Drosophila melanogaster: one gene and its partner. The protein of the gene in region 1 purifies or fractionates together with the protein of each later gene. This does not show direct contact. Each region holds a gene or a part of one and is shown in the gene's direction. Other genes may lie near its edges.

The links. The genes of interacting proteins can lie anywhere in the genome.
Region 2: the proteins of Fkbp59 (region 1) and trpl purify together in Drosophila melanogaster (affinity purification with western blotting; one study listed by BioGRID). This does not show direct contact.

What each region holds. Positions count from the first base shown.
Region 1 is NT_033779.5:9,885,669-9,891,200, forward strand, and holds Fkbp59 (FK506-binding protein 59kD), read left to right. Parts: upstream 1-2,336; 5' UTR 2,337-2,474; coding exon 2,475-2,670; intron 2,671-2,735; coding exon 2,736-2,878; intron 2,879-2,998; coding exon 2,999-3,119; intron 3,120-3,178; coding exon 3,179-3,317; intron 3,318-3,379; coding exon 3,380-3,737; intron 3,738-3,791; coding exon 3,792-3,902; intron 3,903-3,963; coding exon 3,964-4,101; intron 4,102-4,208; coding exon 4,209-4,322; 3' UTR 4,323-4,451; downstream 4,452-5,532. Other genes in the region: CG34183 (uncharacterized protein), read right to left, coding at 4,462-4,654, 4,718-4,815, 4,874-4,985, 5,044-5,072; CG4537 (uncharacterized protein), read left to right, coding at 5,242-5,405, 5,465-5,532. UniProt on the Drosophila melanogaster protein: May have a role in phototransduction; inhibits or prevents Ca(2+) induced stimulation of the trpl ion channel.
Region 2 is NT_033778.4:9,751,618-9,757,396, forward strand, and holds the start of trpl (transient receptor potential-like), read left to right. Parts: upstream 1-2,079; 5' UTR 2,080-2,222; exon of another isoform or gene 2,223-2,360; intron 2,361-3,996; 5' UTR 3,997-4,112; coding exon 4,113-4,142; intron 4,143-4,420; coding exon 4,421-4,566; intron 4,567-4,675; exon of another isoform or gene 4,676-5,779. UniProt on the Drosophila melanogaster protein: A light-sensitive calcium channel that is required for inositide-mediated Ca(2+) entry in the retina during phospholipase C (PLC)-mediated phototransduction. Required for vision in the dark and in dim light. Binds calmodulin.

The sequences.
Region 1 (5,532 bases):
GAAAGTTGGAAAAGCGCTTGGGAAGAGAGAGCAACAATTTTTGCTCGTTCTGTTTACCTTGGTTCGTTTAAGCAAATATTTTTAATTGGCTATGATTTAATGCGACTTGCTTCTACTTGTCGCTTGTATACATTTTGTATTTTATTCAATATATATATATTTTTTTTTTTTTTTTGAATTTTTTATCTTATTTGTTGTTGATGAACACACTCGATCTGAAGGTTTTGGGGAAACGCACGCACACACGCACAGACGACACTTACACACACTTGGACGCGCGGGAGCTGCCACAGAGGGAATTGGAGTATTTATTTTCTTTGAATTTTCTTTGACTTTTCTTGTTTTGGCAGTTTTTTCTTCACGCACTAGCCAGCAAGTTTCTTTTTATGCACCTCGATAGTCAGCGACTTTAAATTTGGCTATGATTCGATTGCGATTTCGGTTCGATGTTGGGGCTTCCCCGCTAATTTTCCCACTCTGCACGGGACAGCTGAACTAACGGTACACACACGCCAAGGCAGGCGAATGGCGGCAGCTCGGAGTAAGTGCGTCCTGTCTGGTTGTACCCTAACGACTTAATGCGCTCAACGCAGCTTTTCACACGGCCATGGACCACGAGCCACGCAGCATCCACAATTTGACTCAATCCGAAACGGAAAACGAAAAACGAAGCTTCCAGCCGAGCGCAGCCGAACGGTTTGAGTCACCGCGTTAGGGAGTCCGTTTTGGTCCTGTGTATTCTGTGGCACGAGTGAAAGCTGCCCTGGAATGTTTACAGTCGAGTAACGAGCGAGCAACAGCAGGACCTCTGCCAGCGGAGACGCCAACAGCAGCCGAGGCAGCGTGATTGTGGGCGTCCGTCGCTGGTCAATGTCTCTATACTATACCTGAAAAAATAATGGGCCTGGACAGGGACACGGCTCGGAGCACTCAAAAAAAAATATATATGCTGCTTTCGAGGGAGTCACTAGAATCTCTGGAGATCTGGAGATTCGCATATGCTGACATACTTTAAGCCCAAAAGAAGTACGACTATTGCATACCGAAGCGAAAGTCTAAGCCCTGTGGCACCATTTATAATAGCATCTTAATGGACTTCTAAACGTTTCAGTTGACACTTCTCACAATTAAGTTAATAATCTTTTTTATTATACAATAATATAAGTTTCTAATACATCTAACGTATACTTAATAATATTGCGTATACGTCATTCATATATAAGCCCTTTAGTTAGTTTGATTGTGTATTATTTGATTACTTTTGTTCAATTTATTTCTTAACTATGTATATGTATTTATTAAATAAACTACGTTTTTTTTGAAGGAATATTGTAATATACAATATTTTTCCAGCGTAGTCATCCCTGTAGACGAACCCTAATTAATGAGCGACAAGTGCGCGCCCAGACTCTGGGCTTTTATGAAGTTGGTGCCGAAGCTCGAAGATGAAACGCTGCTGGATGACTGGCTAATATTTTAGTAGGCGGAGGAGACAGCGACAGCTGCAGCGATTTATAAAGACACAGGCGGAATTCCAAGGAAATAATGTCACAGCTGGCTGGTAGGAAGAAGAATGAATCCAGCAACATGAGCACACTTATCATTTTTATCATTCCAGTTGACCTTGAAAAAATCGTTGAATGCCCATTGCGATAATCCCCCAAATTGGCCTACTGTGCGGGAGAGCTTATAGCAGACGAGCTTACGAGCATGAATTATAGAAACCAATAAAATTAAGTGCATTAATTTATTTCTGTTGCTCTTGCGCTGGCATACGAAATTGGAAGTTGGCACTGCCAAAAGCCAAGGGCAAAATAATCAAATATAACAAAAACGATAACAGGATTATATTTGATGCATACACTTATAGGGATGCACATGCAATCATAAAGCCGCTGGGCAGATTACATTTGGAGAGCACTGTGTGTGTGTGTGTGTTGTTGTTGTAGCCGCCAACACAATGAAATGAACAACAGACATCCTTTAATATCATTAATTGCGGCCGAAATGGATTAATCAAGAAAATGACTTGTAATTGTACCAAATAGACAATGAACGGTATATGCATTTTAGCTAATATTATTCATAGTGCCGAACTTAATATATAACAAAATTATTCCTATTAGCTTGTTCGTCATTTTGAAACATATGCGAACTAAATAAAGTTTGTATTTCTAATAGCATTTCTCAAGTTTTTATCGTTAATTAGCTCAAGAAATTTCAATATTCTAGCTAATAAACCATTTTAATAGGTATGTGATACGGTTCGAGTCCGAGCTAGTTATCTGTGTTTTGTACCCACTGCCTTAACTGTCCTAATACTATAGATGGCGCTTTAGTTAGCACTGACTGTTAACTCAGTTCTGTTAAGCGACTGAAAAACGCACGAGCCCAATAATCAATACGGTCTTTCCAACGTGCTTGAGCTTGGTCACTCTGCCATCATCGTGCGAATTAAAGTTCAGCAGCCAAAAATGCCGGAAGGGAATAAAATCGACTTGTCCGGGGACGGTGGCGTCCTAAAGGAGATCCTGAAAGAGGGCACGGGCACAGAGACGCCGCACAGCGGATGCACTGTGTCCCTGCACTATACGGGTCGCCTGGTCGATGGCACGGAATTCGATTCCAGCCTCAGTCGCAATGAGCCCTTCGAATTTTCGCTCGGCAAAGGTGAGTGTGTCGCCGGCAAATTCGCGAAACTTCTATTTAATGTACTTGCCACCGGACACCTGCAGGCAATGTGATCAAGGCCTTCGACATGGGAGTTGCCACCATGAAGCTCGGCGAGCGCTGCTTCCTAACATGTGCTCCAAACTACGCTTACGGAGCTGCCGGCAGCCCGCCAGCCATTCCGCCGGATGCTACTCTGATTTTTGAGGTAGGAAATGAAATTTTATTGGTTAACTAAATATGGAAAATTCCAGATTTTATGCGTTTCTTAAGAATTTTACATATAGATGAGTAACTCCTAACTAACCGTTAAAACTCTTCCTCTTAGCTGGAGATGCTCGGCTGGAAGGGCGAGGATTTGAGTCCCAACCAGGACGGAAGTATTGACCGCACCATTTTGGAAGCCAGCGATAAAAAGCGCACTCCCAGCGATGGCGCCTTTGTCAAGGGTAGGTTTATCACATTCATGCGGTGACTATGTATATCTTATGCGGTTATTCAAATACAGCTCACATTTCTGGTAGTTTCGAGGGCCGCGTGTTTGAGGATCGCGATGTGGAGTTTGATTATGGCGAGGGTAAGGCCATCGGCATTATCGATGGTGTCGAAATTGCCCTGGAGAAGATGAACGTAGGCGAGACCTCCAGGTAAGATAGATCCCTTTGAGCATTAGAAGCTTTTCAGACTAACTTATAAACGCGCGTAATAGAATCAAGATCCAGGCCAAGTATGCATTTGGAGCAAAGGGCAATGAGGAGTTTAAGATTCCACCAAATGCCACAGTGGAGTACACAGTAAAGCTCGTCGACTGCGGCAAGGGACTGGAGGAGTGGAAACTGAGCGACGAGGAGCGCCTGGCTGAGGCCAAGGTGTACAAGGAGAAGGGCACCAACTACTTTAAGAAGGAGAACTGGGCTCTAGCCATTAAGATGTACACCAAGTGCAAGAACATTTTGCCCACCACTGTCCATACCAATGAGGAGGTGAAGAAGATTAAGGTGGCCACGCACAGCAACATTGCTCTGTGCCACCAAAAGTCCAACGATCACTTCGAAGCCAAGCAGGAGGTGAGTACATGCGCTCAAATCGGATAATTTATACATTTGACTATTTTATATTAGTGTAATGAGGTTTTGGCTTTGGATAAGAACAATGTAAAGGCTCTCTACCGTCGTGGCCAATGCAACTTGACTATCAATGAGCTGGAAGATGCACTAGAGGACTTCCAAAAGGTAACCAAGATAAACGTATATTTATTGAGTTAATACAATGTATTGCTATTTATTCGATTAGGTCATCCAATTGGAGCCTGGCAACAAAGCGGCTGCCAACCAAGTGATCATCTGCAAGCAGAAACTCAAAGAGAGCAAGAACAAGGAGAAGAAACTCTATGCCAACATGTTCACCAAACTGGCTGCCAACGACAAAGAGGTATTGCCTACAACTGAATAAATTCAAATAAAGTACAACATTTCTATATCGTTCCTCCGCGTGTTTTCTGCGTTCCTTGAAATCACCAATTTTTCACCGATTGTTAGACCGAACCTCCGCGGGAAACTGACGTGCTGAGCAAGTGCGGAGAGTGGTCTGAAGAGGATGCCAAGCGCGAAGCAGAATTGACGCTGGAGCGCGACAATATAATCATGATCTAATTCAGATCGACTAGTGCTTTAAGAAATATTCCCTAGGGTTTATAATCCCACATCGAAAATCCAGTAATGTAATGAAGAAATGGTCTTAATGCTTATACGAAATAAATATAAACGCTTTGAGAGCTATGTATATCGATGGTCAAGTATTTCGTGGTAGCAGCTGAAAGCTGGGTCTCGTCTCCCTATCTCGCAGCCACAATGGCGATGTGGGCACCTGTGACTTAATATATTCGGAGGCCTTAAAACAGTATCCGGAACAGAATTTCTTGCGTTCTGTGATGTCGTATACTTTGTTTTTGGAAGCGGAGATACTGTACTTTTGCTTGGGAACGCTAAAAGAGTAGTTATAAAGGATAATTATTGGAAGAACCTCTAGATTCTGTTGGAACACTTACTTTTCTAGAACTGTCGAACAAAGTGGATATCCGCAAAGTTTGTTTATTTCCCGCTCATCCACTATGTCTGAATAATTTGGGGGGCCAATCTCACAGAGCTGCGTGTACAGGAAATGCTTAGTCTACCCGTCAAGCTTTTAATTTGCATTATTTTACCAGGGACAGGAACTCGGGCTCCGGTATTCCGGGCTCCAAAAGCCGCACCACGATTTCATGGGCTCTCGCAATCGCCGCTCGTTTCTTTACCACCGCCGCTATCAGTTGTTGTCTGGAAAACAGTGAGTACTTCACTCAGTGATATTGAATATGTATTTATTTTAATTTACCTCAACTGCTCCCCTTTTTCTGTAGTCATTTTACGCTTCCAAAATTTGCAATTGAGATGGTCGATAACAACCTTCGATAGACACTTAGTTGGGAAATATGCGGTCAATCGGTAGCAAACAATCGATATTAATATCAATGGAATGGTCACTCTGTTTTTGCAAAACGTAAATAAAAAACAAATTGAATTGATAACAAAAATGGTTTGCGAGAAGTGCGAGGCCAAGCTCTCCAAAGTTTCAGCGCCCAATCCCTGGCGAACGAGCACAGCTCCTGCGGGAGGACGTAAAATCAACGAGAACAAGGCTTTATCCTCGGCCCGCGAGCGATACAATCCCATAGGGACTGCTTTACCACCTTGCCGGTAGGGAAATCTCCTCAAGAATTCATCTGCATATCTTAATCTGATTTTTAATTATCCAGAATCTGCCGACAGAAAGTGCACCAGATGGGTTCGCACTATTGCCAGGCGTGCGCCTACAAAAAGGCCA
Region 2 (5,779 bases), on another chromosome or scaffold:
GAAACGAGGAGAAATATTGAATGCAATTTTATTTGCCACACACGCAAAGTGTGTGTGCAGCGCGGCAGCAAAGCAACAAACCGTTTGGCGAACTGCCGGGTGAATTATGGAAATGCATCATATTATTCCGCAGCTCCTGCTCCTTGGCCAGGATCGCCTCCTGCAGGATAACCTGCTGCAGGATAACCTGCTGCGAAATGTGTGAGGGCGTGCGTGTAACTATGCTACTTACTGTCTGTTTGCTTCTGGGACTGCCATCGCCAGACACACTCAGATCCACTGGAAAGTATTAGGAAAAGCTGTGAAGCTCAACAGAAAGATATAGAATTATGTTTAATTGCACTGGAAAATATTAGGAAAAGCTGAAAAGATCTACAGAAAAATAAAGGAAACTTGTTACCAATTGATTTATACTTTTTTGAGTTGCTGTTCTCCATTATTTATTTGCAGATTTAGATAGCACACAAACTTAGATGTCTTCGAAGTAATAAATTCATACTTAATTTATGTATTATTTATTATAAAATAGTTTATTTGTTAAGTGATTTTCAAAAATTTCGAGTGTATTACTAAAAGCCACGTGGCCAAAACAAGAAGATATAGCACAAAAAAAAGACAGGGGAAGTGCCAGATATATCGCAACGCGGCCAGAGAATCGGGAGATTGGAGCCAGGACGAACCTTAAAGGATGCTTTTACTCCGAACTGGAGCTCTTCGCCCACCGCATGCAGCTTGATAAAAGACGCAGTCATGGTAACCCACCTGCCACACCCGCCTCCTGCTCCTGCTCCACTCTTTTCCGCCCGAAAACCTCATCTGGTGTTTGTTTGTTTGTTTGGCTTCGCCTGTTTACGTGCAGTCATGCGAAGCTCCGGCCCAAACCTCGACTTTTCAGCTGATGCTGGAATCTGCTTCAATTGTTGTCTGTCGCCAAAGGATTCCCCTCATCCCTGCCCTCCTCGGCAGCCCAACAACCCGCTATGCTCCATCTCATCAAAATCCATTTTAAGATTTTTGATTTAATTCCGCCTTTGTTTGGCAAGTTGGTTACTGCTCATGCCCTCTGTGTATCTAGAGTTTAGATTTGCCTGGGCAAATTTGTTTATGCCCGTCAAAAGGCTGACTCTGCCGGAGACATATGAACATGTGAAGGACCCTCTTGGACTGTCTAGCAGTTCGTTGTATCCCAATTGAAGTGGAGCAGCCAGTGGAACCAGGAACCCTTTTCAATAGCAAGTTGAAAATGAAACAAACTATTGAAATAACACAATCATAGGCTCTTTAGGTTTACTTGAAATCAGTTTAATGGGTATCAGCATTTGAAAAAATTCGGTACAAGTGAAAAATTAATTAATTGAATTCAAACAATTACAAGTATTATGCTGCGTTACGATGAAATAATTGCAATATAAAAAAATTAGGCAATGAAAACACTAGTAGTAGATTTCAGATTTATAGCAAGTGTATAATGGTAGAAGGAGCAGTAGATTTATATGCAAGATGTTTCGAGTCGCAGCTATTAACATATATTGAAAACAGCAGCTAATCAATGTCAATCGAACTGCAGGCTAAACTGAAATTTTCCAAATCAAATTACGCACGCTGCATTGGGCAGCACGAAAGTATCCGCAAATGTGCAGCAGTTTGTGGCCGGAAAAGAGCCCGAAGAGCAAGTGGCAAACAATAGCTGTAGCAACCCAAATCAAATCATGGCAAATTAGTTGTAATTCAATTGCCGACAGTCGCCGTCTGGATCGTGGCCCCCACCTCCACCACCAGTCCCACCTCAGCACCAGCCCCTACATATGTTTGGGTCCTAATCCCCTTAGGCGAACTTGGCGAAAACTTGTTGATACTGTGTTTCAGCCCTCGACCTCCACAATTCATAACACCACAAACGTATATATAAACCTATAGAAATATATATATATATATATGTGTGGATAAATGTTGCACGGACAACCTCCAGGCGTATCCATGCGATGGGTGACAAATATTTGACGTTTTAGTCTAATTAAATTAGCCACATCGCCGCTCGGCCCTCGGGAAAGGTATAAATTTCTGCGCGTTAGTAGCAGCGTGTAAATTTCGCAGGTGGCACACGTTCGGGCTGCGTCGCGGGTTGTCTCTCGGCGGGTTTTCGCCTTCAAAAGAGCTGAAATTCAGATATACATAAACTACAACACACATTGTACGGGAATTCGGGAGTTCGGTGGCCAAACGTATTGTTATAAAGTATATGCCAGCATACAATTCATAGTCGCAGTCCTCTCACCTAAGCCGGTCACATGAAATTCCAACGTCCATTGTGCCAGCGAGTCGAACAATTGCACACGTTTTTATGTGCCGGAATGCAAGAAGTACGTATCCGTACGCTTGGTTATAAGTGGCTTAAGTGCAGTCCGTGAGCCAACTGAATTACGTGGCTATATCCTTCATTCATTGTGCTCCTGGTTGCTCCTGACTGCTCCTGGTTGCTCCTGGCAGCTGCAGGTTGCTCCTACCTCTTCCGTTGATTGTCAAGTTGGGGCTGTGTGTGCGGAGCTTGTGGTCTGTGACTGCTGGAGTTTCGATTCAACTGGCTGCCATCGCGATAAGCCCTTCGTTTTTATGAACTCTGTAAAATACTCAAAATTTGTTCTAGTTTTAATGAACTCCAGTGCGCTTGCGACAAAATTATGATACTTCGATCGGTGCCAGGCAGAATTAACACATCTCGGCTGCAGAGGGAGAAATTAGAGTGAAATATCATATGCATTTTACATCGTATGTTAACCGAATAGTTTATACTTGTTATAATATATACAGGTGCAGATATAATCCCATTTCGATGGGCAGTCGCAGTATGCACCTGCTGTGCAGGTGAACAGCTATAAATCCATTTATAAACGCTTCCCATGAAGTGGCGGATAAAACCGAATTTATTGCGACATTTTTATGTCCGTCCGCATTTTCGCCCGTCCTCCGCACTTATATTTCTATTAAGTTAATTAAACAATGCACCATCGGGGCTCCTGGGGTAGTCAGAACCACCTTTTGTTGGTACCGGAAGTGTTTTTTATGGAACAACCGCCATGATGATGGTTCCGAGTTTTTGCCTGCCGCGCATACAAAGCACTTGCATTTTTTATGACCAGCCCAAACACTTTTAAATGCATCTGCAGCATCCGCATCCATATCCGCATGCAGATCCGCATCCGCAGGAGCATAAAGCCAGTTTAAAGCAAAAGCATGTAGACGGAATGCATTTTTTCTTTGCGGATTATCGAAAAAAGCTCCTTAAATATTCATTTTGGCATTGTGTTCACACATGCGGAGGAAGGCAGCGGAAAATAAAAATATTTTCATCGGGTGTGGGAAAATATTGGGAAACAAAGAAATTAATTCTAATGGGAGAAACGATTGGCGATGATGTGAACAATCCAATGAGAGCAGCAACAACTAATACAAACTGCAGTTCGTTGCTAATGAGATGAGTGCAATAAAAATGTAAATCAAAACAGAAAGCCGATTGAACAATTGGTCATAAGTGGTGCAATAAGTGCTCGCGAATTTGGTGTTCAGTGTGGCCTTTGGAATTGACCAGTAACAGTCGGGAAACAGTGAAACTGCACAGTGTCTAATCAACTCACTAAATTGGCAAAACTTAAATCTTGCCCATGCAGATGGCACTTAAAAAGGGTTTAGCCAGCTCGGTCAGTGGCGGAAATAAAAAGAAAAACATTATAAACAGCTTAAATAGAAACTTTTTGCACGCCGGAAACCAGAAACCATAAACCAAGTCAAAAACCACCAGACACACACACACACACACCAACACACACAAGCACACCCAGTTGGACATATAACTATGGACTATACAACTATGAGTACAAAAGCAAAATCAACTTGAAAGTTGCATGTGGCCCGGCTTAGTATTGGACTTTTTTGGCTTTGCCATTGTGTATATAAATATATATGCCATATATGTAAATATCGTTCACTTTTCACTGCAAGTGTGCAAAGCCCTGCGACATGAAGTCGGATTTTGAACTCTGAACCCTGGACTTGGTACATGGAATACTAGTTACGAACTGCTGGCGTTCGGTTAAGTGAAGTGCACTAACTCTAGAATGGGTCGCAAAAAGAAGCTGCCGACGGGCGTAAGTAGAAACCCATCCAGGATCCCGATCCAGATCCGTATCCAGCAAGTAGCATGTCTTAAAGCCGCCAGTATTAGCTAAACGCCGCTTACCTTAAACGCCTCCAATGCCATTTAGATGGAAGCCAGACAATCAGCCCAGCATCCTCCACTTTGCACTTAATTTTCTTGTATGTTTATTTTTTATTTATTTGCAATTCCGCATACACGATTTCCCCCTCGCCACATCGGCATGTACGTATGTGGCTCCTGCTCACCTGTCTCTTTAAATTATGCCAGGTATCGTCTGGCGTCAGCCACGCCTCCTCCGCCCCCAAATCGGTGGGCGGGTGCTGTGTGCCGCTGGGATTACCACAGCCTCTGCTGCTCGAGGAGAAGAAGTTCCTGCTGGCTGTCGAGCGCGGCGATATGCCGAATGTGCGCAGGTGAGTAGCGCTTTTCACGCCTCCGATGCCCAGCAGGGAGGGGGGGGGGGTGGGTGGTGTTTCTGTATGGCATCTTGGGCGGGAGGGATACACTGCAAGAAACTCTTACCACAATCAGGTGTTGGATGAGCATTAGTATTCAAAGTTAATGTACAAGCTTAGCTAATGAATGTATCAATCGAGTAGAACCTAATGTATATTGATATATTTAGCCTTCAATTTAAAAGAAATAGTTAAACACACTACCACATTTATCCGAGTGTAGGGTGTTCGAATAAAAACCCTGACATTTTTAGAGGGGTATCACGAGCTCCAATGGTGGCTTCGCCCAGGGTAACACAGGTGTTGACTGGGCTGGGTCGCACAGGTACCATAAATCCCATCGGGAGCCTCCTTGGGTTCTTTGGATGCGGTGCTGGTGGTGGGTTCAATTATTTGCACACTCGTCTGCCGCGGGCCTCAAAATGGTTACCTAACTGGCATCCCGGCAGCCACTTAATAAGCAATATGAGGCCTTCGACCCGGATACTTTACGCTCGTTTACGGCTTTGCTTTAACAAATGTACGATTAATTCCGTTTGCTGGCAATGAATAAGAGATAAGCCAAATTATCCAAATACTTTTCGGTTGCCACTTAAAGCTGTTAACATGCACAATCAATTCGAGAAACGAATCTTATTGAAAAGCAACTTTTCGGATAACTTAAGTTCCCTTACCTGAAAGCACAACTAAACCTTACTTTTTGTTGACATCCCAGGATGTCATTTATGAACAATTCTTTATTGTTTTCATCGGGCGAGTGATACGGTAACAACAAGCAAATGAGCCGTGTCCGGGGTTCCTGTTTCATTTGTGATTCCCAATACGCTTTGGAGGCATGCACGATGTCCATATAATCTTGCATCTAATGTGAAATTGTGGAAGTAGTGGCGAAGTTAGTGCTAGTCTTGGATCTTGAGTCTACATGGAAATACGGCAACAACAAGCAAATGGGCAGTGTCCTGGGTTCCTGTTCTTCGTGTGATGCTCCTTGCGATTTTTAGGCATGCAAGATAAACCTATAAGCTGACATCTTATGTGGGTAGGGTGGCGAAGCTAGACCTAGTTATGGATCTTAAATCAACTTGAATATTGAGGTGCTGACGGTGCGATGTGGGTAAAAGTGAAAGTGTGACGGCTATGACGTCTATGACGGCTATTTGGGACGTTTTGG